Lonchura striata: one gene and its partner. The main gene of each other region encodes a partner of the protein of the gene in region 2 in a complex. Links are inferred from orthologs where the notes say so. Each region holds a gene or a part of one and is shown on either strand. Other genes may lie near its edges.

Region 1 (14,319 bases), on a different chromosome or scaffold from region 2:
GCCGCCGACCACGTCCCCGAGCTGGGCCACGTCGTTGTGGCGCTGCTGCCACGCGAAGGGGCCCACGAGCTCCCGGTTGATGAGCACCCGGGGCACGGAGCTGCGCACGGCTCCGGCCAGGCTGGCAAAGGGCTCCACCTGCGGAGGGAACCCGGGGGGCACGGGGACAGTCACCCTGCCAGGGGCACCAGTGCCCAGCACTCTCGGCTTGGAACCGCTCAGCCCCCCCTGCTCTGAACTGGTCACAGTGCCACCAGTCACCCGGTGGCCTTTCCTCAGCTCTCCAGGTGCCCACCTGGCTTCCAGAGGGTCTCTCAGAGCACCTCCACCCTATTTCTTACCCTCCACCTCAAATTTCACCTCCCTAACCCATTTTCTTGCCTTCTCTAAGCCCTCTCTCCCCTCTGGAGTCCCTTCAGGCCCTGTTTTCCATGTGAGTTTTTCCCTTATTCCCAGACCTCCAGGGATGTCCCGATGACGAAGAGCAGGTCTGCCATGGGGAAATCTGTGAGGTGCAGGAGGAAGCGCTGCGGGAGCTGCTCGCCGAAGAACACGATGTCAGGCTTGACAACTCCGGTGCAGACAGGGCAACGAGGGATCCTGTCCCCCATGACATCTCCCTGAAGGGAGAGACCCCAAAACTGCCTGTCAAAGGGACCCTGTCCCCCTGAAAGAGAGGCCCCAAACCTGCCTGTCACAGGGGTTAAGAATCACCACATGTCTTCAGAGCAATGCCCAGCCCCAAACTGGTCCCCTCCATAAACCTCTTGTCCCCAAGGGCAAAAGAGCAGGTTTAGACCTGTCATTGCTGTAATAATTAATGCCTCCTTGTGTTAATTGTGTTGGTGCCCGTCTGGGCCCACTCACCCTGAAGTCCTCTCCGGGGAAGTTCCTCTGACACACCGTACAGGTGGCAGTGGCAAAGGTGCCATGGGCTTCCACCAGCCTGTCAGGAGGGATCCCAGCCACTGGAATACAATGTGTGGGAAAGGACTGAGCCAATGCCTCCCTGTGTGCATGTCCCCAGTCCTGCTTCTCCCCTCAACTCCTGCTGCTGCTGCTGGAGATGGGAAGAGGGAGCTCACCTCTCTCCAGCCCGTCGATGTTCTGGGTGTAGAGGCGCAGGAGCAGCCCCTTGTCGTGCAGCAGCCGGAGGAAATAGTGGGCGGAATTGGGGCGGTAGTTGCCGGGATAGAGCTCCTTGGCCAGCATGAAGAAGGGCTTGGGGTTGACGAAGAAATACCCGAGCTCAAAGATGGCCTCGGGGTAGGGGATGTCATACTGCTCCAGGTTGCTGTACAGGCCGCTCCCGGGGGACCTGCGGGGACAGGGGGCAGCTGAGAGGGGCTGCAGTGGGATCTGGGCTGGAGACAGAATCCCAGGATCAATGAGGTTGGAAGAGACCTCCAAGACCATCAACGGGTCCAGCCTGTGATGCATCATCACCTTGTCAACAAGGTTATTCCTAGGACACCTCCAGGGATGGTGACTCCAGCACCTCCCTGGGCAGCCCCATCCAATGTTTAATCACCCTTTCCATGGACAAAACCTCAGCCCTCCAAGGACACACAGGATGGAGGCATCACCTGAAGTCCGGGATGCCACTGGGCGTGCTGATCCCGGCGCCGGCCATCACCACCACACGCCGACATTCCTTCTTCCGGAGCAGCTCGGCCACATCCTTCAAGGTGAGCTTCTGCTTCCCCTCATCACCTCCCCACCAGCCCAAAATGGCTCTGGCAGCTGTGCTCAGACAGAAGGGCCTGGAGCCTTGGGTCCTGCTCGGCACAGGAGGAAGCACAGCACTGAGAGAACTGACAGTGACTTTGGTTCAGGGGGGAAGAATCACCCAAAAATTCCACAGAAAGCTCTTCTCTGGGCAGGATTGCGCTCGGGCTTCACTGGGAGAAAGCTTGGCTGTTAGTCCAACCTAAACCCTGGAGCAGACGTGTCCCTCAGCAATTCCTTATGTGGATCTAAAATACCAAGTCACCAGCCCTCCTGTGAGGGGGTATTTTTGGACAGGGATGGACACAAGGTTGGATCCACACACTGGGAATCCCCAGTCCCAGTGTTGATTTACACTCCCCTGGGATCCAGGAGACCCTCCTGTATCCTGAGTTCAACAAGTTTCTCTCAGGGTGATGTGTCACCCTGTCCAGGTGAGCAAGGTGACAGACACTATCATGTCCCTGTTCCCCCCTTGGGCTCCGTGTGTCCTTGTCCAAAGGAATCACAGCCCTGTGCCCAGCTGGGCTGGGAACAGCCATTGTCATATGGGAACAGTCATTAGCAGTTCCCGAACAGTCATTATCAGCAGGGAACAGCTTCTCCCAGAAAATTAGTGCTGCTGGAGCATGGCATTGTGCACAGTCCAGACCAGGCATGGGGAGAGCCAGGAGAGTTTGGCAAGCCCGAGGAACAAGGACAGAGCTGGAAGTGTTTCCAGGCCTCAGAGGTCAGCTCTGCCTTCCTTGGGATGTGACTGTCCCTTTGCAGGGACATGACATTGCTTTCCCAGGGGTGTGACACTGCCTTAGCCTGCTGTCACAGGGATGTGGCTCTGCCTTCCAAGGGATGTAACACTGGCTTCCCTGGGATGTGTGACACTGACTGCCTAGGGAGGTGTCCCTGCACTGCCTTTAGCTGCTGTCACAAGGATACGGCTCTGCCCTGCCAGACCAGGTTCCCGGGGAGCTGAACTCACAGTCTTGGAAAAATACTGAGCTTTCCCTGGCAGATCCCTGCTCTCCGGGCTCTCAGGCCAGCCCTGGCTCCCAGCGCGCTGTCCCTGCTTAGACGGGGACGGGCCATCCTCCATCACGGGAGCACATCCCATCCCAGCCCCGATCCCCACGCTCCCGTCCCGCAGGGATGCTCCAGCCGCCAGCCGGGCATTCCCCACCTACCTCCCGGCTCCGCCGCCGGCCGGCCCCTTCCCGTGCCCGCCGCCCCGTGCCGCGCTGCCGCCGCGGCGGGGCCCGCGCTGCCACAGGCTCCTCCGGGCTGCAAGAGAGCAGAGCGGTGCTGGGGGCGGCCCGGCCGTGCCGGGGCTCCCCCCGCGCCCGGCGCTCACCGGCCGCCAGCAGCGCCCGCGCCCCGCGCTCCATGGCCGCTACCGCACTGCCGCGAGCGCGCGCGCCGCGCCCCCGCCGCCCCGCCGCCGCTCACCCCGCCCGGGCTCGGTCCGGCCGTGCGGGCGCGGGGAGCGGCGGCGGGGGAAGGCCCGGCGGTCGGCGGCGCGGCGGCGTTGCCGTGGCGACCGCGGGGCGCGGCGGGACCGGCGCCAAGCGAGTGCGCGGCGGCGGCGGGCTCGGGGCGTTACGGTACCCGGCGCGCCCTGCGCGGCCGGAAGTGAGTGCGCACAGCGGGCACGGCGCGGCCTGCTCGCCCCGGTCCCGGCCCCGTCCCGGTCCCGGCCCCGGCCCCGTCCGGGCCCCGCCGCCGCCATGAAGGACGTGCCGGGCTTCCTGCAGCAGAGCCAGAGCGCGGGGCCGGGCCAGGCCGCCGTGTGGCACCGCCTCGAGGAGCTCTACAACAAGAAGTGAGCGGGGACGGGGTGCGGGGGGACCGCCCGTCCCGGGCCCCGGAGCCCCGCGCGGCCGGGCCCGCCCGGGCCCGCGTCCCTTGAGCCGCCTCGGTAGCCGCCCGGGAGGTGACCCGGCGGTGTTTGCCCTGTCAGGGGTTCCAGCCCCGGCTCGCCCCCGATCCGAGCCCCCGTCAGCCGCTGCCGGGCGCGTCCCGGGCCGTGGCACGGCGGCTCACGGGGCTGTTCTGTGTCCCCAGGCTGTGGCACCAGCTCACTCTGCAGGTGCTGGACTTCGTGCAGGACCCCTGCTTCGCCCAGGGAGATGGGCTCATCAAGGTGAGCCGACTCTTCCCAGCTTTCCTGGTGTTTTGTACCAGGGAAAACTCAGCCTGCGGCTTCTCTCTTTCTTAATTCTCTTGGAGGATTACTGACCTTTGTGGGTTCAGCTTCGGGGGTGTTTGCACTGGCTGCTTTGTGGAAATTCTGCTAAAGTTAAATGTCTTGGGTTCAGAAGCTTCACAGTGATTCTTTACTTCACTTACCTAAATTTATTATCTTTAGGAGTTGCAAGGAGATTTTTTTTTCATTCCATATTTTAGTAAGTGCAGGATGGGTGTTCATTGCAAGAAGCTTATGGGGATAGAATTAGATAAAATTAGCAGTTCCGGGTTCTGAACAGTGCTGGACTTTCTTTATGGGATGCCCGATTTTCTGGAATAATCATAGGATTGAGGTATTTGAATGGTGTGGGTTAGAAGAGACCTCAAGGACCATCATGTTCCACCCTCCCTGGAAGGGACACCTTCCACTAGCCCAGTTGGCTCACAGCCCTGCCCAGCACTTCCAGGGATGTTCAAATGAGCTGGAATAGAGAGGAAACATGGTGAGGAGCTCTGAACCCGGGTGCCCTTTGCCATGAGTGTCCCTGTCCTTGTCCCTGCAGCTCTACGAGAACTTCATCAGCGAGTTTGAGCACAGGTGAGTTACTGGGGGGGCTTGAGGGTCACTTGGAGGGGCTTGGGGTCACCTGAGGGGTATGAGGGACCTGTGCTGACTCTGAGCTGCTCTCTGCAGGGTGAACCCCCTGTCCCTGGTGGAGATTATCCTGCACGTGGTGCGGCAGATGACAGGTGCGTGTCCTCCCCTCTTCCCTGTCCTGTTGTGACCTCTGGAATGTGGCCAGGGATGGGCCAGTCTTGGATGGGGAGGTGTTGTGCTTCTGCTATGTCGGGAAGGGAAAGTGCTGGCTTAGAAAGCATAGGTTATTGATGATTCCTGGAGTAGGAAGTCCACAGCTTCTCTGGAGAGGTGGTTGGTGGGGAAAAGGCCAGCTTACCTGGCAGCAGCTGCTGCAGGCTGAGGGTACACCATGGAAAACCCATATTCCAGTCATCAGGAATCCTGTCAAAGGTGGCTTGGTAAGCGAGGTTTAGCTCCATGAGAGCTGCTCATTTAAATCTGTTTTTCCCTCTACTCCAGATCCCAATGTGGCCCTGACTTTTCTGGAGAAGACCCGGGAAAAGGTATGTTGGAAGTTGCTCTTGGTGAGTTTTGCCTCTGAGCAAGCCAAGAGTCACTGGTACGTGTATCACCTGTGCTGGAGAGCAACACCTTTCCACAGGAATCTGAATGCAGGAATATGGTCACAAGGGGCATTTGTCCAGCCCCTGGAGCACACCTGGCTGCAGGTGACGCTCTGAACAGGTCCCTGTGTCCCTGCAGGTGAAGAGCAGTGACGAGGCTGTGATCCTGTGCAAAACAGCCATCGGGGCCCTCAAGCTCAACATCGGGGACCTGCAGGTCACCAAGGTGAGCGGTGGCCTGGGATGGGGAGTTTTGGGGTGCTGTGGCATTTCTTGGTTATCCCAGCTCCTGGTCCTGAGGGACTTTTGAGCTCGCCAGGACCTGTGGTGGTGTTGTTGCCTGAGCCCCAAGCACATGGGGTTTGTCATCCTAGGCTGGTTTTAAAACCATCTATTAAACCCCAAAATTATGTTTTTCAGGTAGGGCAGCTTTGAGTCTCCTAGAGCAAATGCAGAGGGATGGGTTTGGGTGATGGAATCCTGGAATGGTTTGGGTTGGAAGGGATCTTGAAGATCACCCAGTCATGGGCAGGGACACCTTCCACTAGCCCAGGTTGCTCCGCCCTGGCCTTGGACACTTCCAGGGATGGGGCAGCCACAGCTTCTCTGGGAAACCTGTGCCAGGGCCTCAGCACCCTCCTCACAGGGAAGGGTGTGGGAGCGATGGTGGCCTTGCCTGGGATGTCACCAGGGATCCCTTGGGGAGGTTGCCATCCTTAGAGCTGGGAACTGTAAGAGCCAGGTCTTGTCCTTCCCAGGAGACCATCGAGGAGGTGGAGGAGATGCTGAACACCCTGCCCGGGGTGACATCAGTGCACAGCCGCTTCTACGACCTCTCCAGCAAGTACTACCAGACCGTGGGGAACCACGCCGCCTACTACAAGGATGCGCTGCGCTTCCTGGGCTGCATCGAGGTCAAGGACCTGCCAGGTAACTCCTCTCCAGGGCTAATCCCACCTTCCACACTCCGCTGCATTCCCCAACCCAAATAAATGCCCTGGCTGAGGTTTTCCCTCTGTGTCGTTTTGGCTGTGCTGTGGTGGATCTGAGGTCTGGCTGGACTGAGGAGTGACCTCCAAGGACCTGCTCCTGAGTTGTACTGGGAGGAAGAGGGGGAATGCCCCTGCCAGAAGTACAATTTTGTTCCAATTCCCAAAAATCTTCACTCTGGATTAAAAAAGCAGCCCTTTTGTGCTGTGGTTACTGCAGGCTCCTGAATTTCAGGCGCCGTGGGGGAAGATGAGAGCTGGGAATAGTTTAATGTAGGTGAGGGATGGCTTGATAGAGCTTGAAGTGGTGCTTTATCCAAATTATTTTTGGTTTGAGTTTTGTTGTCATCCCAATTACTTTTGGTTTTATTTTTTATCCGTAGTGGGTTTGGTTTGGGTATTTTTTCATCCAAATTATTTTTGGTTTTGTTTTTTTTTTTCTTCCAGTATCAGAGCAGCAGGAGAGAGCCTTCACCCTGGGGCTGGCCGGGCTGCTGGGAGAAGGCGTCTACAACTTTGGGGAGCTGGTGAGTGCTGCCACATCCCTTCATCCCTGGAGCCCCAGGAGCTGGTTTTTTTCCCCTGCTGACACCCTCCTGCCTGTCCCCTGCAGCTGATGCACCCAGTGCTGGAGTCCCTGCGCAGCACGGACCGGCAGTGGCTCATTGACACCCTCTTCGCCTTCAACAGCGGCAATGTGGAGACCTTTCAGGCCCTCAAGTCAGCCTGGGGGCAGCAGGTGAGGGCTCTGGGACTGCTAAAGGCTCAGGCTTGGGATTTCCACCTGACACTTGGAGTCTGTGGACTTTTTCTTAATCACCTCTGCCTCATTCCTGGCTCTGGAGCACTGGTACAATTCTGTTCGGAGCCTAGGAGTGGTTATTCCATCTTGATACACATAATTAGTTTTCTTTTGACTTCTCTTTGGAGTGCTTCCAGTGGAAAACAGTGGTTTTCCTTCCTGTTCTGGGAAGTGTGGGGGGAAACAGTGATGTTGGATGTTACCTGCGCTGGCAACACCAGGAATCACTGGCATAGCAATGGATTTGTGAGTTCACTGGCACTTGGATTGTTTTCTGGGACCATTCTTGGCTGGTGGGTGGGCTGTGGTAGCCTTCTTCCTCTTAAATAAACTCTCCCAGGGATTTATTCCTCTATGTAAAGCTGTTCTGCCCCAGGATGGGGAGAAAAATGTAATCTTGACCTGATTTGGTGCCTTTTCTCTCCTCACAGCCTGACCTGGCTGCAAACGAAGCACTCCTGCTGCAGAAGATCCAGCTATTGTGTCTCATGGAGGTGAGTTGGGATGTGCTCAGTGTGTCTGGTCACTCACCTGCAGGAACTCCTGGATACAGGAATTTCAGTGTGGATTTGAGCTGGTGATGGAGGCACAGGCAGGTGCCATGAGGGAAAACACCTCATGCTGGGCTGCTTGTCCCTAGGTTTGGGAGGGCTCTTGCATGGAGTGCCAGGACAAGGGGGAATGGCTTCTCTAACAGAAAGTTAGGTGGGATATTAGGAAGAATATCTTCCCTGTGGGGGTGGTCAGGCCTTGGCACAGGTTGCCCAGAGAAGCTGTGGCTGCCCCATCCCTGGAAGTGTCCAAGGCCAGGTTGGACAGAGCTTGGAGCAACCTGAGATAGTGGAAGATGTTAATTCTGTGATGTGGAGGAGGGGAAGAGCAATCCTTCAGGGATGGTGTCTGCAGTATGTTCCAGGATGAGAAAAGACTTTTAGAACAGAGTTCAACACCTTTGTTTCCCTGAGGGACTGAGGGTCCTTTCCCTGATGGATAATCTGAAACAGTCCCTTCCTGTCACTGGAAGGCTCTGCTGTCACCATACTAGTGTAAAACATTCTTGTTTGAATTACTTTGATAAACATGAGAAATGCAGTTTCCAGTGCAGAGTGAGACTGGGCAGGGCAGCTTGGGGGAGGCTCTGTGAGCTGTGGGAATCCCTAAAACCCTGTGGGGGTTGTTTTTTTTTTGGTTTGTTCCCTGGATCCAGATGACTTTCACCCGTCCAGCCAACCACCGCCAGCTCACCTTTGAGGAGATTGCCAAGAGTGCCAAAGTCACCGTCAACGAGGTGAGTTTGGGGTTAGGCACCCTTGGTAATGTCCAGATTCTGGAGCTCTGAGAGTGCCTGGGTAGACCTGAACCACACAGAATCCCAGAATCATTTAGGCTGAAAAAAAGCTCTGATATAATCTAGTCCAGCCTGTGCCCAGAGCACTGAATGCCACATCCAGTCATTCCTTGGGCACCTCTAGGGATGGGGACTTCAACACCTCCCTGGGCAGCCCCTTCCAGTGCCTGACAGCCCTTCCCATTAAAAAATTATTCCTGATTTTCAACCTGAACCTCCCCTGGTGCAGCTTGAGGCTGTTTCCTCTTGTCCTGTCACTTGGTCCCTGGGAGAAGAGACCAGCTCCCACCTGCTGCCTGGGGACAGTTGGGCTCTTCTGGCTTTTTCCAATTGCCTTGTTCTTCCTTAGATTTCAGAGAAAAGAAAATAACTCTAGGTTTTTTTAGGGGAAAAAGAACTAAAAAAACCCTAAAATCCAGTTTTAGGGAGAAGAACTCCTCTTTGCCAAGGTGCTGAGTCCCAAGGCAGATCTGTCACCTGAAAGGGGACAGCTGGGAGAGCTGCTGCCCTGGATTCTGAGGGGATCTCATGTGAAGATGCCAAGTTTTATTAATCTCAGGGAAAATGGGGTGGTCTGGGTCATTTCCCAGGATTATCTGTGTCCCCAGGTGGAGCTGCTGGTGATGAAGGCGCTCTCGGTGGGGCTGGTGAAGGGCAGCATCGACGAGGTGGACAAGAGGGTGCACATGACGTGGGTGCAGCCACGGGTGCTGGACCTGCAGCAGGTAATGGCCACCAGATCCAGCTGGGTCAGGGAGAGGTGACCTGGGAGTGACACCAGAGCCAGGATGAGTCATGGCTTGGGAATGAGCCTCCCTGGGGGCTTGGCTTTGCCCCCGATGTTTCACCCAGAAACCTTCCAGGAGGTGGGACAGGACAGGGCTGGCACATCAGTCCCTTGTGAAAGCCACACAAACACCATGGAACACAGAAGCCATGGTTGTGTTTTCTAGAAGGATCCAGGCCTCATTCCCAAATGCATGAAACAACCTCTGGGAGTTTCAGGGGTGTGGGAGGCACAGTCCTCTTGGGAAGAGAGAAGGCCAAGGTATAATGGAGCTGTTGAGTTTCTCAAGTTCATCCTTGTAACACTTAAGGAGACTGTGCAGGGTGTCTTTACCTTCAAACCCAAAAATCAGTGTCTGGAATTCCAGCTGCAGACAATTCCTTTGGTGCATTTCAGTTTAGGCCAGCTGGTAGAAGCTGTTAATCCCAGAATCCCAGGATGGTTTGGGTTGGGAGGGACCTTAAAGCCCATCCATGGGCAGGGACACCTTCCACTAGAGCAAGTTGTTCAAGCCCCATCCAACCCGGCCTGAAACACTTCCTGGGATGGGGCATCTCCCTGTCTCAGTGTGTGGGGCTCTGAGGGATGGTTTGAGCTCTCAGGTGTGGGAAGGAGCCTGTGGGCATTCCCAGGAACTGAGGCACTCTGTCCCTGTGGCCTTGCCTTGCAGATCAAAGGGATGAAGGATCGCCTGGAGTTCTGGTGCACAGACGTGCGGAGCATGGAAATGCTGGTGGAGCACCAAGCCCACGACATCCTGACATAGAGGAGAGAGTGATTCCTGCTGCTCCTGAGGCCAGCAGCACTCAGAGCACTGACTGTACTGAATCCATGGAGGGGTGGGTGGGCAGAGCAGGAGGACGAGGACGTGGCCTTTCGCTGTGTGACCCTTTGGTGCTCGAGCCAAGCTTTCCCTCTGCTGGCACGGGTGACTCTGATCCCTGATCCCAGAGCTGCGTCCTGGGGGGATGGATCATTCCTGATCCCTCCTGCCTCCAGCTGCTGTAGGAGGGTGGGATCCTAGTGCAGGATCCAAGGGGCCTTGGCCTTAGGGGACACAGCCTGTCCTGCTGCCCTCTCCCCCTGCCCCTGCAGCAGCCTGAGGCAGCATTCCCCAAATCCTCTTCCTCCCCTAGCCCTGCTTCCCTCTGCCCCTCCTCATCTGCAGCAGAGGCAGTGTTTGCTCCATCCAAGGGTTTTCCCGGGATTCCTGGTTAGTGGGTGTGTCCATACACTTGAGGGGGTGGGTGTCTTTCACCAACGCTTTGTGCCCAAGTGAGGTGCAGTGGCATTGCCGGAATAAACGTCTCTGCCTTCCCTTTTTGGGAATTCTGTGTCATCTCCGTCCCTGGCAGCTGAGCTGATGACAATTCCTTTAAAAACGTGTTTCCAGGGTCAGGCCTTGCCACTCCTGGGATTCAGGAGCTTTCCTCACCAGTTTGGTTCTCTGGTGTCATTAGCAAATGTCACTGCTGGAATTTTTGTACTTTTCCTGCTTTTCCTGCCTTGACTGAGGGTGTTAATCCAGCAAGAAAAAGAAGGGAGCATGTGGCTGATGCCAGACTGGTGCAGAGATGCCTCACACAAAGGAGACAGACTTTGAAAAACAGGACAAAATGGAATTGCTGGAGTCTGTACCTGCTCACCCTCCTCCTGCTGCTCTCCAGGCCCTTCTGGCTGAAATTCCCTCCTGGATGGGGAGGGGTTGTTCTGTGCCCAGTGCCTGCCTCTTCCTTGCCCAGCCACTTGATTTGACTTGACCAATTCCTGCTGCATCCTGTCTTCCAAGGCTTACTCCTGGTGCCACTTTAGTGACTTCAGGAAAGCGTATGGAAGAAGTAGGTGTTCCAATCAGGAAAATATTCCCATTATTTCATAGGTAAGGACAGGAGAAGCTTTAAAGGAGCAGAGTCTCCTTCCCAGTGCCATGTCAGATCTCATCCTCATTCCCAGGGCTGTCACTACACTTAGGAAACAAAGGAAACTCCACTGGAGTCACTGAGTTGTGGGGCTGCTGCTGCTTGAGATCAGCATCCAAAATCTGGAATATCACTGTGGGAAGCAGTACCAGCTTCTCTCAGGAGCACATCTCCCGTGCTGTGGGAGCACTCCCCTGGCCGTGAAGCTCTGAGCAGCTCCTGGGAATGAGGGTCAGATCTGCAGAACTGTGACAGCTCCAGAGGCTTTTCCAAGACACCTGGAAGTACCCCTCGCTACCCAAACCTTCCACGTGCTGGGTGCTTCCCTGGCACAGGTCATTTGGGATGTGGTGGCTGGAGAGGCCCTTCCTACAGGGCAGGGAGTGGGCAGGCGTGCAGCCCGCAGCCTGTGGCACCCTTTTAATGTCACTCCCAGCCTTTGGGTGTTTTCCTGCCGGGAATTTACCTTGGAATGGCTTCCTTGCTTGTGCTGGGAGAGGTGCCTGGGTGCACGCAGTGCTGCAGCTAGTGGAGGCTCCAGAGGGAATGTGCCTTCCCATTGGGACCTGCTGGCAGCCCTTGAGGGAATGCTGCCATCAGGGCAGCAGGCACAGGTCCGGTTCGTTCCCTACAGGACGGAGCAAGCCCAGTGAGGCCTTGTTGAATGCAAAGATGGATTTTAATGAGCAGGCTCGGGGGGTTCCATGGTGAGGCTCTGCCCGAGGGAAGAGCCCTTGGGATGCTCTCAGCAGGGAGCAGGCTGCTCCTGCCACTCCTCACTCAGGCCTGCTCCTGTAGTTGTAGATGTTGCTCAGGACCCAGGCTGTGGGCACCAGGAAGGACGTGAACATCAGGGTGAGGGCGATGGCTTGTTCCTGAGGGGGACAAGGAGCAGGAATCAGTGGGATGGCTCACAGGGCTCCCGGGATGGCTGCGCTGCTGCCGTCCAACCCGGCACCCAGCTCACTTCCCTGTGCTCTTCCCAGTCCTTGGCACTTGCCCTGGGGCTGTGGGGAGAGGTTTGGGGAGCAGAGCTGTTCCCACTGGCAGTGGATGGAGCTGGTGCTCTCCAGGTTTGTTGCTCCTCCGGGACACTGGAGCAGTGTTTGACCTTGAAGCTGTGGCTGGGGCCTGCAGTGTTCCTGACTTTCAGGTGACTTTGGGATGGGAATTGCAGCCAGCAGCAGCCCCTCATTTCCCCAGTACAACCAGGACAGCGTTAACCTCCCACACTGGCACCTTCCTTTGATTTATTTGCCTGGAAAAAGCCTCTCCCAGGCTCCTGCAGCTCCTCTGTTGAAGACCTTGGAAAGGCAGCAGAGGGAAAACCCCAAATTAAGGGGTGGAGGGGGAATCAGGCATAATTTTGGGGGAAAACTTCTTTTTCCCAGCTTGTTTTACCTAGCCTGGGAGGGTCTGGTTTGGGGGGGACTGTCCCCGCAGGGGGAATGTCAGAGGGATCTTGGGCTCTGCAGTGACAGCAGCTCCTGTCCTTGCCTGTGGGGACACCCCTTTGGGGTGATGGTCCCAGAATAGGGGCCGAGGTCTGGGTGTGGCCCTGAGGGACCACCAGTGTCACTGCTGCCCCTTGCCCTGGGCTGCAGGGACCCCCAGACCTCAAAGGTTTAAAAAAGGGCTGAAAGGACAAAATCAAATGGAAGCAGGAGCCGGTGAAGGGGGGGAGCAGGACATGGACACCGTGGGGGTGTGGGCTGGAACCTGAGGGTGCATTCCTTCTTTTCCTCCCCCTCCCCTTTTGCTTCCACCCCCTTCCAAAACAGTTTGGCCCAGACACACAGAATGTTTGGGCCCCTCCAACTGGGCTGTTCCCACGTTTTCAGCCCCCCAGGATACTCACACCAGTGGAGAGTATGTTCTCGGGGGGGTGGGAGCGGAGCTGTGCCCGGGGGACCCGGCTGATCCGGAGTGCAGCTGCCAGGAGCTGGGAGCCCCTCTGGAAACCCCTCATGGCGCTCTCAGGGTGATCCCGCTGCTCCTCGCTCTGCAGCTGCCCAGCTTGTCACTGTCACTGCCGCCACCACCCCCTGCCACTCCTTGGCACAGCTCCAGAGGCACAGGGAGGAACAGCCTGACAGGTTTTCTCAAATTGCTCTCTGCTTAATTTTATTTCCCTTAATTGTTTTGGGATTTTTTTTTCCCCCTCAGCACTGCCCAGGGGTCTGAGACTAAAAACTGTCCCCAGCCAGTGCAGGGGGGCACTGAGATGTTCTGCTGGAGAGCAGAGACCTCCTCTTGGATGGGGCCTTTTCCCTTAGAGCAAAACTTTTCCTTTGGAGCAGAGCTCCTCTCTCCTTGGACCTCCTCTTCTGTGGGCTTTTATAAACTTTTTAACACTCAAAGCACCATTCAGCGGGAAGGGACTTTCTGGAAAAGGCTATTTCCAAATTCCTCTGATAAAGGGAAGGAAATGGGATGGATGCCTGCCACTGGGATCAGCTGGGGAAGAAACTGCTTGTCCCGGTGTGCTGGTGGTTGCTGGAGGGGATTCCAATGCCCCAGAATCCCCATGGATACCCGCTCTCCAGAGGATGGATATTCCTGCCCATGTCATGGACTCTGCCTGTGCTGGAATCAGCAGCTGGTTGTGAGAAACAAACCAAAGGGGAAATGAATCCTGCTGGGGCCCAGCTGGGATTAGACCCTGGAATACCAAAGGAGTAGAGGGGGGAGTGTTACTGCTAAGCTCTGCCCTTTGTCAGGGTGTCCCCAAGGTGTCCCTGGGGCATTGGCAGCTGCAGGACTGACCCATGGGGGCTTTTCCATGGATTTACAGTGCGGGACAGATGTGTTATGCCAATCCTCTAAATGCTGGATCAGGCAATAAAATAATCCCGGTGAACACCGGGGCCGGTGGCTTGGAGCACCCAGTGGCACCTGGCTGCAGCTCCAGCCCTGGTTCCCTGACCCACCAGGATGGGACCAGCTGGAAGTGGCTTGGAAAGGCATGCCAGAGCCAAAGTCCAGATGGAATTTTTGTCCTCCCTGGAAAGAGGCGAGGGGAAGGGTCAGAGCGTGGCTGGGGCCACGGGAGGTCAGTGGGGTGCGCTGGCTCCCTGCCAGCGGCTTTGGGAATATAACTCATCCAGCTTGGTCTTCCTCTTTCAGTTCCTCCTTCCCAGGCACAGGGCAGCCCCGGGACTGCCGCGGGCACTCAGCTCAGCTGGGCAAACACCTGCGTGTCCAGGATCATTTTTCCAACTTTTTCTTTTTAAGGAGACGAAAGAAAAAAAGCGATTTCCTTCCTTCTTTCTCGGTTGGGCAACTTCCGTCCTTCCCTGGAGCAGCCTCCCTCCGCCTGCTCAGGCTCAGCCCGGCCTCGGGACAGAAGGCAAGATCCACTT
Region 2 (14,997 bases):
AACACCAGAGAGAATAAATAACTCCACATCAGAGAGCAGGAGGGCTGGCATAACTTTAGCTGCTGTCTTCAACACCTCCTGTCATTGAACTTAGAGAGGCTGCAACCCAACAGCTCTGGCCACTATCTCCACCTGCTTTTAGAGGGTACAGTACCTTTAAAAACCCAGGCTCACAATGCATTGGGGAATTCCTCTGCAAGGTTTCAAAGGCCCTGAGCCCTGACAATATCCACAAAGCAGGACAAAACACTCCTGGTCTGGTTGGACCCTTCTGACAATTAATTCAGCTGTCAGCTCACAGCACCACAGTGCTGCTAAGCCACTGCCCTACCAATGAGCTTTTGGTGGCTTAGCCTCAGGAGAGTCAGAGAGCCTCTTGATAACTGATTTGCATGACCTGTCCCCACTTTGCTGACTGCAGCCACCAAAGCCCAAGAGGGTTGTATCCCCTGTTGTTACAAAGCAGTAAAAAACAAGTCTCTTGCCTTCCCATTCAAAACCAGAGATAATTTGAAACTCAGCTAAATTTCTACCCACAGGGAAGAAGAAGCAAGAATGGCCAGTGAACTTTTTTTCCTGCAAGACCGAATTGCATCAGCTAGAGAGATAGGACAAAACTCAGCAATGAAAAAAGTCATCACAACCAAGCTTGTAAGGGCAGACATCATCTCCTGGTGCAAAAATAAAGTGTTTCACCTATGGCTTTGGGTATCTTTGCCCACCAGCAGATGTTCGGATTCTTCCCCTAGCATACAGCACTTGAACTCTGGTGCACAATTACAACCCACCTTGCTGACAAGTGTGCACAGGGATGTGGGTTGACTGGATGGCACAGCCCACCAGCTCTTTGCCCACAGCAGAGGCAAACTGAGGCTTTTATTTCTGCCAAGGATGAGCCAGCTGGGATAGCACTTTCCAGTGCAGCTGTGTTTCCTGCCAGTGCATGGAGGACATCCCACCGATGAAGGTTTTTTTTCCTGTTCCAGCCCTCTTCCTGCACATCCACCTTCTTCCTTTGCAGGCTGCAATGGGAACAAGGCCAGCACTCAGCTGTTTTCTTGTCCCTGACAACTCCCCAGAGGAGAAGGCAGAGGACCAGGCCAGCAGCTGCATCTTTCCTTGTGTTGCCCAGGGTTTATCTTTGAGGAGAAGCAGCTCACAGCAGCAAGCTTTGCAGAGTAGATAATGCAGAACGGTGCCTAGCAATGTTGCACATAAGCCCTGGACAGCTCTCTCCCAGCTGTATCCACGACCTCACTCGAAGCTGGTCCATAAGACAGAGCCCAAATTAAAGTCTTTGTTTTCCTACAGTGCTAAGTCCTTACTCTAAGGCCACTGTGCCATTAACAGGGCATCCAGATCCTAAGGAAAGAGGCATCTCTGTTCTGCCAAGACATGTCCAGCATCCCTCTGATTCCCCCTTTACTCTGAGGCTGTATGTGCTACAGAAGACTCACCAAGGACCACCAGCATCCCAGCTCCTGGGCCACTTCCTTCTCTGATTTGCTTTCCCTCACAAAACTTCTAGCTCAAATAAGGCACTACTGAAAAAGGTTTTCAACTAAGTTCTATCTCAAAGGGAAGCTAATGCTAACACACTGTAGGAAAAGCTTTCTGACCCATATAAAACCTGTAAAAATGCAGCCCAAAGACCACAGAAAAGGCAAAATACTCAGAGAGTACCGCTGCTTTCAACAAAGCTATTCCTGCCTTAATGAGATAAGCAGAGAACCAAGTGACCTGTATTACCACGTGGTAGGACCAAAGTCTCTAGAGAAACTCAAATGCAATCACATCTGACCCACAGTATCAGGCATAAACAGAAACATGGCTCTCAAATACAGACAGAAGCTTGAAAATAGAGATTGCCATACGTCTTTCACTTGGATGTTCTCCTTTCTGATACCAGTTACTGTATCTCTGTAAGGCTGCACAAAAAAGGGTTCAGTTTTCAGATATGGGTTACTTGTTTTCATGTCACAGCAATCACAATTCCACAGGCTGAAAATATACTTTCTTCCAAACGCACTTGGGCATGGCCAGGGAAAAAAAACAGTCCTGTTGCTGTTCAGAAAGGCCGTCCCTTATCTCCAGAGATTGCAGATAAGATGTTTGAGCGTCTGCAGCAGCTCAGTACATTTCAAGTAGCGGCCTAAGGGGGAGGTTAGAGCTGCCTTGAATAAGGCAGTGCTGTCTGTTGGGTTGCTTCTCTTGTCATGTTGATCTGAGCACAATTGTCACCTCTTTCTTACCCCTTGTTTTCATGCCTGAGGCATAAAGAGAGAGGTAAAAGTGCACAAACCTGGGAGAAAAACATACCATGCATAAACTCGGGGAGAAACCTTTGGTTTCATCTCCATGTTTACCACCAGAATGGCAAAATGCAAAAGCACTTAGACAAGCTACCCAGATCATTACAACATATTTATATCATAACAGGCCTAAGCACCCTGCCAAATAACAATACCAAGATAAAAAACAATGCACTCCTTTCATAGATTTATATCAGACAGCGTTTCTTTCTGTTGCATGGAGCACTAACCTCTCAGAGTTATTTTTACACCCACTCCTCCCTGCTGACCACTTTCCTCACTTGAATGAATAATGCTACCAGGAGCTTTCATAAATTTTGGAGATGACTCAGACCACTAGAACATTTTCAGACCCAAGGAGCTCTAGGAACCCCAACAAGTTGCAGAAAACATTCTGTAAAAGTCTGATGCTAGGGACATTCTTCATCTCCTCTGCTTTATGATCTAGCAGAACAAACATCTGGCTCCTTGAGATTCAGCAGCTCAAAGATCTGGCTCCCTAAAACATGCACTGAGGAATGTACAAGTCTGGGAACATTTAAATCTCACTAGAGACAGAGATGATGTAAAAGGCAGGACTGTCTCCTAAACGAGGGCATATAGCAAGGAGAAGAGAAATATGCTTAAACCTGCCCTACTCTAACAAACTGTGCAATCTGTAGCATCAATTACATATCAGTGTCAATCAGAGCAGTCTCAAAGTTACTCTGAACTGCAGTGAGGATGGGAAAGAGAAACATGGAGAACTTAAAATCCCCTCCAGCCAGGACTCAGTATCAAGCTGTTTACTAGCAACACAAGACATTTGCACCAAGATGTTTGCTATTCTTCTGAAACCAGAAGCTACTCACAGAAATTTTCCCATGTGTATCTCCAGCAAGCAAAAAGGAAACTGCTAGGTGGAAAAATCCCATTTCCTGTGTCCCCCACACTGCCAGGCATAGTGAGAAGGTGCCATACCTGTATGTGACATGCACTGCAGTGCCAGGTTCATCTCTCTCCCAAATCAAAGCCACTCTGTTTGGAGACTTTTCGACGTGCTGATCCAAGCAATTTACTGTAAAGAAACCCAAAGGTTTAAACAAAGCCTGAACATATGAAAGGTGCTTTGTAAACCTAGCTTGATCAAGTGCAACAGCAAGCAAGTGCAAGATGAAACATCAGTTTTTGGGTTGCTTGACACACACTAATGTATAACAGAGGAACAGGCATTTGCAGCTCCAGTAAAGCTATACAACAAATTCTACATTTAATTGGCACAGTGGCCTTAGAGATGGATACCCATGAGAGGCCATGGCAAATTCAGGTATGGGCTGAATTCATGGCTCAATTCAGCCATTTAGCTCCACTGCCTAAACTTAAGCCAGCCCAAATCTTTCCCTTGCTCCCAGCAGCACAAAGGCAAGATACCCTTTTGATGTTTTTTCTCCCCAGAGCAGCATTTCACTACAGAACTCGGACAGTCTTCCCCAGCTGGCATATTTAGCACTGCACCATTTGGATTTTCTAATTAAAGCTCACGTGAAACATTTTGTTCCAGGGTATAACAAAGAGCTGAATCTCAGCTAATTGAAAATGTCTAAAACTGTAGGATCTATGGTAAACTAGAAGTTCAGACATCTACAAGTTATCAGACACATAGGAAGATTAATGTGTCTCAGGCTGTGTATTCCATCTCCTAAAATTTAAAGGCATAAAATTCCCTTTTAAAGGTGCATTTCTCCCCCTCAGCATCTTGAAGTGGAGGATGTAGGGAGAGCACCCAATCTGAAGAAATGTATAGAATCCACAAAAGAAACTTGCCTGCATGTCCAGTAGCAACTTGCCTGATAGTCAGAGAACATCCTTGTTAAGTACTAACTCCAAGTCTACATGACACTTACTTATTGCATTGTAATCTTGCAAAGGCAATTACTTTATTTCAATAGGCAACTAGTCAGGGACACTGCTGTATAACTCAGAGAAAACCTTTTTAAAAAATGCTGGATTTCAAATCATATTTCCTGGAAATATTAATACTGATGGGAAAGGATTTCATTTTTCCAGATATATTTAAAAAAACTGTGTGCTGTAGTAGCTTTGGTTGTTCTGTGATCACACCATCACACGGGATGGGAATGAGCCCCTAAAGGTGCACAGAGGAAGTAATTCCTCAGAGTTTAACACATTTTATTGCAAGACCAAATGTTAATCTCAAAAATTCAAAAAAGCACCAGCTGTTTACAGTCTTTTATTTTTAATGTAAAACCCTGCAGCAGTACTATAAAAATAAGACAAAGCCATTTCTTAAGCCATCCTAATAAGATACAAGAGGACAAAAATCCTAGTGGGGAATTTTTAAGCAGTTATACACTAATTTCTTCTACCTGTGTTTACTGCTGTGGCTTGGTTCACAACAAGTAGCAACTCCCACCTCCAGGCTCCTCACAGCTACACCCTCGCATACTGTGCCATGCTACAGTGAATCACAAAATGGCATTCATTGCCCAAACAACTTTTCCTACTCATGAGCAGCCACACTGGCCTTCAGAGGGAATTTCTGCTGCAGGAAGCCCTGGCTGAACCAAGTAGGAGCTTTAGCTCTGCGCTCTGTAAGAACCAGCAGGTGAACCAGAGCCAACTGCTATTATTTCCTTCCTGATCTTAGGCTTACATGAGTCTTTTGCTCATTTTACAAAATAGAATTTAGTGACCTTTCCCTTACTACTACACCCTAGTGGCTTCTCAATACATTTTCTTGCTTCCTTGACTGCTCAGAAACAATTAATCTCAGTAAGACAAGTTCCTGAGAATGTGTCCTGATGGGAAATGCAGTTTGCCAGGTTATTCTCCTGACCAGGAGTACAGTGCAAGAAATCCAGAAGCCCTTAAGCTCACAGGTCCACAAAATCCTACTGCAAGGGCTCTCAAGCAAAGAACATCAGATTACTCAGTTGCTCACGGTTCAGCTGTGCTAGGAGACATGCACACATGATGCTCTGGATAAGGGACCTGAACTGCTGCTATGTTTCTACACAGACTGTGTTCAAATCAAGAGGTGAAAGGACAAAATCACAGTCTCCTAACAGAAAAACAGCCACTTGGCTGTGGCAAAGTACTGCCTTAATCACGCTTGAAAAGAAAACCAGCAACAGCAAACCTGTTTAATTCTGTGCATCTGTTTCAAAGGTCTATGATTTCCTTTTATGTATGAAAAAAAAGCTAAGTGGCATTTTCTGTCTGCTGAGGAACCAGACCCAAGGCCAAGCAATATCTGAATATCAAAGATCTGGCATGAGATCCAGAAGAAACTGTTGATCCCACACTACAGAGGAAAGAAATAGATCCCTGATAGGCTGTGCTCAGACAAGATCTTCCTTTCAACAGGAATTAATGACAACAAAATCCTGGCTAAAATCCTCTGATTGCTGATTGCTGGGCACAGGGCTGTACAAATATCTCCATAAGTTTGGGATCCACTGCCGGGCATCACCCACCCCCAGGGTGAAGACACTCTCTTAGGCTCTCTGGAAGACCTGAGGAGGGTTTCCTCTTTTGGCTGTCAAACAAAAAGTGGCCAGAGATGTTACAGTTACTGCACTAGTGAACCAGCGTCCTCCCCGAGGAACAGGAAATGAAGGTCAGAAATGTTCGTCCCTGTTAAAAGACATCACCACTGAGTGGTACCCTGGATGGGGCTGGGGCTCACTCCCACCGGACAAAGCACAGCCGCAGCACACAAGAGCCTTCAGGGCAGACACGGCATGGACAAAACTCAGATGCACTCAGGGCAGCCACGGCAAAATTCACTCGTTTCATGTTGAGAGGTGAAATTGGAGGAAAATACCAAGATCCTCGTTAAAAAGAAAAAAAAAAAAAAAAAAAATCCCTGCCATAAAAGTCTGGGACCGTTCCCCACCTGTGGATCATCCTCAGCCACCACGGGGCCGGGCAGCAGCCGGCAGAGCCCAAATTTGGCATCCCATCCCGGGGCCCATCTCCGCAGGTCGAAGGGCGGCCGCCCGTGAGGTAGTGCCCGAGCAAAAGGCTTAGCCGGGGTTATCCCAGCTTCGGATTTTCTCCCCGTTTCCAGCATTTCGCAATTCCTGGCTTGCTTCCTCCCTGCGCCGCCCAACCGAAATCCTCGGTTTTACCCCCAAAGACGGGCGATGGAGAAACTTCGCCCCGCGGGTCGCCTCCCGCCCAGCCCGGTGGCAGCCGCGGGCGGCCCCGCCGGGCGCGGGGGATGCGCGGCCGGGACCCCTTACCCGAGACGTTGAGGCGGCCGCCGAGGAACCAGCGGGCGGAACCAGCGGGCGCTTCGGGCTGGCAGGCCGTGTGGAAGGGACTGTCCCAGCGCAGCCACCCCCGCGCCACGTCCGCCCAGAACCCGGCGGGGTCGCGGGCCGCCCGCTCCCGCCAGGCCCGGTACTCGCCGGGCGGCAGCGCCCCGGGGGCGCCCGCGGGGCTGCAGCAGCTCCGGGCCGCCGCCGGGACCCGGCCCGGGGGGCGCGGGCGGCTGAGGGCGCGCAGAGTCCGCGCTCGGGCGGCCGCCAGCGCCATGGGCACACAGCCCTGCGCCGCTGTCCCCGCCGCGCCCGCCCGAACCGGGAGAACGAAAGGGAGCGAACGGGCGAGCGAGAGATAAAGACCGCCTGCGGGGAGGGGCTGCCCCGGCGGGGCGGCTCCGGGAGCACCGCAGCCCGCACACACCCCGTCCCCGGGAGTACCGCGCAGCCCGGGAGCACCCCGCACCCAGGGACACCCGCACCCCGCATACCCCCCATCCCCGGGAACACCCCGCACCCAGCGACACCCCACACCTTTGGGAGCACCCCGGCCCCAGGGACACCCCGCACCCCGGGAGCGCCCCGCGCCCGGGGACACCCCACACCTTTGGGAGCACCCCGGCCCCAGGGACACCCCGCACCCCGCGAGCACCCCGAGAGATACACCTGTACCTGGAGAGAGAGACCCAGCACTTTCCCCTATGGGGTTATCACCTGCACGGATGTGCGGGCCGGGGTGCACCCCTGTTCACATCCTCACCACCACAACAGGTGTGCCCAGGTACAGCCAGGCCTTTTAACATAAAAAGCAGCTCTCAGCACACACACACGCTGTCGTATCTACAGGCGGTGCCCAGCACCACACACCCGGACACAGCACAAAGCAAGCGCAGTGGCACGATCCTCATGCACAGACAGTACTTGTGCTCGTGGGTAGGTGGCAAACACATTGTGTCCTTGTACACCACTATCCACAAAGCTGTCATAACCCTGCCCCCTCTGCTCAAAATGGGGTGTCTATAAGCGGGGTACACATCCTATCTTGGCAGCCATGTGAGCACCATCATTATCATAATGTGGAATTCCTGGCTTTGATATCACAGCACTTCTTCCTCCATTTTAATCTACGGACCAGACTTCACCCTGGCTTCATGATGCAAACCCTCAACAATGAGTAGCAGGGTTTTACAGCAGGTAGCACAGAATTTATTCCTTGTCTATAGCAGAGACATGACCTTTTCTGGCATAAAGAAATGAATTATTTTAGACACCTTGGTCCAGCTTCCCAGCATGGAGTCTAAAAGCTCAGAGTGGCATGGTCTGAGCATCCTTAAGAAGTGCCAAACTAACAGAGCACAAACTCTACTCACCCCCAGGGTTTGGGTAGGCAAAGCACATTTCGTGTTCAAGATTAAAAGCCTGAAATAACTCTAAATGCTATGAAGCTTCTTCTGGCAGTGGTAGAAACAAACGTTGGTCTTCTGTTCTAAATATATCACCAGGTGCTTTTTTGTGATTTTTGTGTGAGATTTTCTGACACCACTGATCCTTCCACTGTGTTTTATAGGTAACAAGCAAGAATAAATACAATTTTAATTTCCTTGTAAAGCTGGCATTAGTACATGGCTGCTGTAGTTCGATATCACTACCTTGGGTTTTGACTGTCACTTTCGGTTTGCCCTAGCTCTAAATTCCAAACAGCAGCACGTGTGCCACCTGGTGCCAGACAGGGGCACGGAGAGCACTTCAGCTTTCACTTGGTTTGCCCAAGGATTGCTCAAAAGTTTTATAACAAAGATGACTTCTGTGTAAGTCCTACCCCTTTCAGGATTTCAGAGGAATGCTTTTCACGAACAAACAATTGAGTTGTCAAAAAAAGAAAGCATGAATTTAAATTATTTGGCATTAAAGCTTACCTGCTTTGTTTGCACACCTTGAAATATGGGAGCACTTCTCGGGCTTTCTTCCACCAAGGCTGATTCTCCTTTTCTACCATCAGGTTTTGTTTTACTCATGATTTACCAAAACGTCCCCTGCTCTCAAATTTTGTCTGCCTTTTTCCTCAGAGAAAACCATAGCCAGCAGTAACACAACCCAAATCCAGTCTGATCACCCCACTGAAATGGGTTGCTGAACCCAAGCACAAGCCCAAATCTCCTTCCTTGCCTCAAAAATAGATAACGAGAGGGGGAAAAGTGTCTCTGAGATTTTGCAATGTCTACTTGTTCTACCCATGACTTCCTGAACAAGAGAGTGAAGTCTGGCACATTAGACTATTGACTTTTTGAGAACCAAGGAGTGTTACAGCATTTCTCATTTTTAAGTATTTTAAGTGTGCCAGGAAAAGCTGGTGATGGATAAAAGGTCACAGAATTGCTTCCCACATTCACTGTGTCTCTCTCCATTCTTAGGGCCCCCTGGCATTATGGAGTCCCAACAGGAATGCTGGCATTTCCAGCTCTGGAGAAGCCTGGTGACTGTCATCTGGAAATACCACCTCTGTGTGGCAGCTTCCAAAGGCATGTGGTTGCCAGGGCAGAAGAAATAATTCCCTGATGCAGCCAAGCCTCCTGGCACAGTCTCCCAGACCAGCCAGGCAATCTCACTGCCCTGCAGGAGATTTTAGCAGGTAATGGGCACAGCTGCTGAATAGCTGCAGATCTTGGCCTGGATTGAGAGTCTTCTGTGCTGGTGTCATGGCAGGCACTGATGAGCAATGCCAGTAGTGGGTTGAGTAGGGGCTGAGATTTCTGCTGACAGAACTACAGCAAAAAAACTTTAAAAACCAAAACCCCAAACCCCCCAACTTTCCACATCTTTCCACTTACTTGCCTTCTCTTCGATTGCTGTCAATATATCAAAGACCTACTCAATGAGGTCTATGTTCCTCAATTGCTCACCCCACCACTCTTCCCCCCACCCCACACCTTCCCCCGTTTTCCCCTTAATGACCTAAAAAGAGGAATAGTAAAGTTGTGGAATCCACAACTTTCACTTGGTTATCACTGATGTGCTCCTAACTGTCCTTTCTAATGGTCTTCTCACATGCTGTGAACACAGTTGATACCTGGCTCTACAAAGAAAGTCAGGGCCAGGCAAAAACCCCACCACAGAGCAAAAGTACACACTGGTCTGTGTTAGAAATTCTCCCAAGTCACAATTAACCCAGATTTTAATAAAATCTTTTGATCATTTTCAGCTACATTTCTGCCTGCAGATTAAATTGGACATGTTCCCAGGTGGCTGTTCCAGCAGGTTTCTAAGCCCATTCAGCTCCATCTGCAGAAGAGCAGGCTTAGAGGGAGGTTTAGACCAAGGATGAAATAAAGCTAAAATGCAGTTGCTCAGGTGCCACTTTAACAGATGAACATGGACCTTGTGTCCAAAGCAATGGGAACTGCAACAGGTTTTAAGGAGCTGAGTACCTGAGCTAATCTGGAAGGTGAAACTTTGTCAGATATGCTCACATGTGGTCGCACCTGAAACAAAGGTCAAATCTGTGTGAAAAATGTAGATCTGCTGCACTTCCATTTATGAATGTGTAATAAATGCCCAATGAGTGATAAGGGAGAAAAACAATACTTAATAATATCCAGATAACTAGACTGCTTTTGTACAGGTGAGGCAACCAGCTGTCCCATTCTCAAGAGTTTTCTGCTCAAGGCTGGATTTCAAACCAAGGGGATTCAGTGCTGCTGCTGCCATCCATCAACACAGAACTTCCCCCCCAGTTTGGCTCCTCTCCTGCATCAGCAGCCCACACTGGGTTTGCTATGTGCTTTGTTCCAGAAAGTTGTTGCTGAATCTCCACATCTCCCCTTAAGCAGCACTTGGGGTTGCCCAGCCTGAGGATGGACCAAGGCTCCAGCATCTAATCCTTCCATTCCCTCCAGTTTGTACCATTGCTCAATCCAATTTACTGCTGGGTCTGTGCTTGGTGCTCCAGCAGCACTGTGAAAGAGAGATCTGAAGGATACTGAGAAGTAAAGACAATCTCCTGGGGAAAACCATCTCCCTCACCTAATTTTGGTTTGCCCACTTCTTTTGCCTCTCCAACTCAGTGAACCAGTGCTTGAGAATACAAGTGGTGGAGTCTTGACCTGCAGCACAGAGAGCCCACATGGCAACTGCCAATCATCTCTCAATCATATACCTGAAGTAACAGGAACCTTGGAATGAGGTGCACCTGCAGGTGTCTTAACCCCTGGGACTGCAGGATGAGCTCCTACAGGGCTAGAGATTCCCTAGAGTCTCTGTGGAATGTTTCCACAGAGCAAGTCCTCAATGTAGGGGGCTCCAGCCAGTGGAGGAACATTGTGGGGGCCTGGTAGCCCTTTTCTCCCTGAACTGAGTGGCTGGGGGTGGCCAGGGTTGTGCTGGGTCTGTCTTGGCACAAGCATGTCTGTCTTGTCACAACAAATCTCCTCTTTATCACCCTGGCCCCAAGGGACTGCTTTGGTTGGGGGGAAAATCTTGGCAGGGAGGTATGTCCCACAAGGGATGGGGGAGCACAGCAGCCCTGTGGAAGCTGGTGTGACATCCCACTCACAAGACAAATGAGAACCTCCATCTATGGATCAATACCAGGTTGGATCTGACAGGGACACTCTGATGGGGACAGGAAGAAGGCACCAGTGTGTTGCAGGGAGGGCCTGGCAGCAGTGTCCCTTGCAGTGTGGTTTGTGAAGGTGTATAAGGCACAGAACAGTGCTCATCCACACTTTGGGACAGAGGCATGAATATGGATGATTTGCAGTGAAAAGGGAACAAGAAGGCACAGCCATAAGTATTGCACAGCTCTGTAGGAGCCACGTGCTTATCTGTTCTTCAAGTACAATGTGATTCGCAGTGAGCTGGAGCAGGGAGAAAGGCACCTCTCTGGAGCAGGGGCACAGATGTACCCCTCAGATGTAGAACAGGGAAAGTGCCCAGGGACAGGCTGCATGCTTTTTTTGGGTGCTGCACCCAGCTGTGAGCTGCTGGGTTTTGTTCCCAGCCCTGGCAGGGCAAGACCTGGCTCTGAATGGATGTGAGATGGTTCTGATCCTAGTGGTGCATTGTCCCAGCCAGTGTTGATGGTGCTGGTCCTGGTCCCAGTGTAGTGTCCTGGCCAGACTGGTGATGCTGCCACTTGCAGTGCAGTGTAATGCACCAGTCCCTTGATGGCCCTGGCCCCAGAGGACTGGAGTAAAAAGCTGCAGGTCAGCATTGCTGGGCTGACTCCACTGCCAGGACAGGGCAGCAAGGGCTCACAGTGGTGACGCTGCCAGACCGTGTGCAATGCAAAGTCCAGCCTCAGGCAGATGTGCTGGCTCTGGCCTTGGTCCCAACGGTGCAGTCACCCGGCCCTGCGAAGACTGTGCCAGCGCTGGCCCCAGTCCCAGGGCAGTGCAGTGCCCCGGGCCGTGCTGGCGATGCCAGCGCTGATGCCACCAGCGCGGAGACGAGCACCAGTCCCCGTCCTGGCAGGGCCCGCGATTGCGATGGCACTGCCGATGCCGGTCCCGGTCCCGGGGCGGGGCAGCGCCGTGCCGCTCCTGTTCCCGGTCCCGGTCCCTGTCCCACGCCAGTGCGCTTCCCAGCACGCGGAGCGGCGGCGCGCTGCGGCGCCCAGCCGCATGTGCCGCCACTCGGTGCCCGGTGCCTGCTGACGGTGGAGGCGGGCCTGGGGCGGGCCCGGCGGGGCGGGGACGGCCCGCGGGTGATGTCAGGCTGATGCTGTCGGTGCGGCGCGCGGTGCATTGTGGGCGAATCCCGCCGCCCGCCGCGGCTCCGAGAGGGAGGATGCGCTCGGGGCAGGCCCGTCCCACAGCCGCAGCCGCAGCGCGCCGGGCCGGCGGCACCGCGCCCGACGAGCCGCACTGAAGGGCGTGGGGCATGCGCTGCCTGCGCCGGCCGCAGCGGGAGGCGCCGGCGGCGGCGGGGCCAGGTGAGCTGGGCCGGGCCGGGCCGCGCCGCGGCGGGCACGGGTGGGGAAGGGAGGGACGGAGCGACCGTCCCGCTGGCGGCCCGCGAGATGCGGGACCGGGGACCGCACCGGGCCGGGCCGTGCCGGGGCTGCGCGCGGGGCACTGCGGGAGCTGTAGTTTACCGCCCCACCCTGTGCCTCCGGCCGAAGGGAGAGAGTCCCGCGCGCGGGACTCGGGTTCCCAGCGTGCCCATGGGGGGTGGGCGGGCCAGCGGCGGAGTGACGGCCCGGTGCCACCAATGAGAAGGTGGGCCGGGTGAGGCGAACCAACTGCCGAGAGGGGCGGTGAGGAGTGGGGGGGCGGCGTGCCGGCAGCTGCAGTGCAGGGGCGGACGCGGCCACCTCCTCGGCGGGGGGAGGCGGGACGGCCCGAGGTGAGGGCAGGGCGGGGCAGGGCCGGGCCGGGCCGGGCCGGGCGGGGCCGCACCTCGGCGCCGCTGCTGCCGGGCCCGGGGGTCGCGGCGATGCCCGGGGCTGCCGCCGCGGGAGGGGCGGGCAGTGGCCTTGCTGCGCTGTGCACGGCAGGGGCGGGGGCGCCCCAAGCCCTGAGAGGCTCCGCCGGAGGGAGCGGCCCCGCCGGGCGGTACCGGGGGACGCCGCCGCCGGTCCCGGTGTCGGGCGGGGGCCCAGGTGCGAAGGCGTCCACGGCCTTGTGCCGGGCCGGGCTCTAGGGGAAGCCACGGCGGGTGCCGGCCGCTTCAGCAGGACATGTGCCGCCCGGGGCTGGGCACGGCACCCTGCCCGGGGCCACCGGCTGCCGTCCGGCCGCACGGGAAAGCCAGCCCGCCCCGTGGGGCTCTCTGGGGAGGCAGCGCTTCTGTGCGGTACGGTGGGATAACTCCGCGGTGTTCGGGTTTCAGGCAGGAGGCTGAGACTTTCTCCTTTTTGGCGGGGTGGAAATGGTGCTCCTGTGTGCGTGCTGTGTCTCCTGAAGCTTTGGGGCTCAGAGTCTCCTGCTGTGGTGTCCGTATTGCTGGTGGCGCCCGAGCTGACATTGCTGCATGTGTCCGTAGTCGTGCTTTGCCTGCGTTCCAGGAGAGGAGGTATCCGGTAACCTGGGGCTGACCCACTGAGGACTCTCGAGATGAACACCATGACCTTGACGTGCATCTAGGATTTAACAGGGAGCCAGAATGCTGCACGAAGCACTGAAGTCACACTGTCACTCTGGCAGCTACTTGCATGACAAGTTCAAGACCCACTGTGTGTTTTGAGGGATGGGGACTTCAATACCTCTTGGTATCATGTTTCTAAGCAATTCAAACCAGGCCTGAATTTTCTTAGGTTTGCAAGGTGGTTTGATTGATAGAAAGAAAGGTTTCATTATTCTACCATTTCACATGGATTTCTTGTAATGTCACTGAAAATGTTGCCTTTCAGCAATAAACTTCTCAATGAGTCACAACTAAAATTTTCAGCCTGGAGACTTCTTATGAGTGGAATTTAGCTTCCTGTTGTGGTGTGCCACAGGGTGTGCTAATGCTCCCTCAGCTCGTAGGTGCTGTGGTGCTGTGCCTGTACAGGTGCTCTAACTGAAGAGCATCAGTCCTATCTCATGAGTGTCAGTGTGTCACCACATTCCAGTGTTATTTGAGACAATAAATAGGGGCAGAATAGGAATGATGTGTTAATGTTCTGGCTTTCTTTGTTTGTGTGCCAGTGATCAGCCAGCTCATAAGGAGCATCCTCATGGAGATATAGGTGGAATCAGAAACTTTTGAGATGCGGTGCTCATGAATCGTGTATGTGGTATTCACTGCTGTTACTGCTGTGTGCTTTTGTGCTTTGTGATAATCTCATTCCTTCAGGAGTAGGCTGTGTTCCTCTTTTCTGGCAAAATAAGATATTGAAATCTCTTGTAAGACACCTTTATCACGCCTTGGGGACACCTGACTAACCTTTTTTTTTTAATAGTCCTCAAGGGAAAAGTCAGATCCTTATCAATGCTCTTGGTCCTCCAGAAAGGAGTGTCTCTAGTGCTAGGAAATCTATTCCATCACCCCCCAGCATGGTGCTCATGGCCCATGTGTGGATTTTCTTCCCCCTCCATCCCTAGAGGTTGTTGATGAAGGCAAGAAGCAGCCTGCAGCTCTCTAGTGGAAGCAGTTGGCACTTTTTTTTCAAAGCAGGAATGATCAGACAGATCCAGGAAGAGCCAAATCCGTCTTTCTAATCTATCTTCAGTGTGGGAATCCCTTCATGTTGTTTCTTGCTCTCTTTTATGGAAAGATTGACTCATCACTTTATCACTTTGTCAGGTAGCACACTCCTCTCACGTGGGTCTTGCTGTGGGTTCATCTCTTCAATTGTGTCCTTTCAGTTTTTTGCCTTAGTCTTATCTGTGTGTGTACCAATGTGCAGGCTCCAGGTTCAGGAGCAGTTCCTCATCCTGGGAAGCTCCTAGGTTAGATTTGTTTGCCGTAGCTCCACAGTGACCTTCCAGTAACAT

The links.
Region 1: the proteins of ACSS1 (region 2) and SIRT3 are in contact, whole or in part, in a crystal structure (PDB 3GLT), measured with the Homo sapiens proteins. The link is inferred for Lonchura striata from reciprocal best matches to the Homo sapiens genes ACSS1 and SIRT3. Residues at the interface, in NP_115890.2 of Homo sapiens: Ser640, Gly641, Lys642, Val643, Met644, Arg645; in NP_036371.1 of Homo sapiens: Gly145, Ala146, Gly147, Thr150, Pro151, Asp156, Phe157, Arg158, Ser159, Glu177, Phe180, Gln228, Asn229, Ile230, His248, Ile291, Val292, Phe293, Phe294, Gly295, Glu296, Pro297, Leu298, Gly319, Thr320, Ser321, Leu322, Glu323, Val324, Glu325.

What each region holds. Positions count from the first base shown.
Region 1 is NC_134608.1:53,251,190-53,265,508, forward strand, and holds the start of SIRT3 (NAD-dependent protein deacetylase sirtuin-3, mitochondrial), read right to left. Parts: upstream 3,001-14,319; 5' UTR 2,910-3,000; intron 1,779-2,909; 5' UTR 1,634-1,778; coding exon 1,587-1,633; intron 1,319-1,586; coding exon 1,086-1,318; intron 969-1,085; coding exon 868-968; intron 621-867; coding exon 459-620; intron 139-458; coding exon 1-138. Other genes in the region: PSMD13 (26S proteasome non-ATPase regulatory subunit 13), read left to right, coding at 3,450-3,544, 3,787-3,865, 4,473-4,507, 4,604-4,659, 5,009-5,052, 5,252-5,338, 5,871-6,042, 6,549-6,628 and 5 more.
Region 2 is NC_134605.1:19,102,113-19,117,109, reverse strand, and holds the start of ACSS1 (acetyl-coenzyme A synthetase 2-like, mitochondrial), read right to left. Parts: upstream 6,855-14,997; coding exon 6,560-6,854; intron 3,370-6,559; coding exon 3,273-3,369; intron 1-3,272. UniProt on the Homo sapiens protein: Catalyzes the synthesis of acetyl-CoA from short-chain fatty acids. Acetate is the preferred substrate. Can also utilize propionate with a much lower affinity. Provides acetyl-CoA that is utilized mainly for oxidation under ketogenic conditions.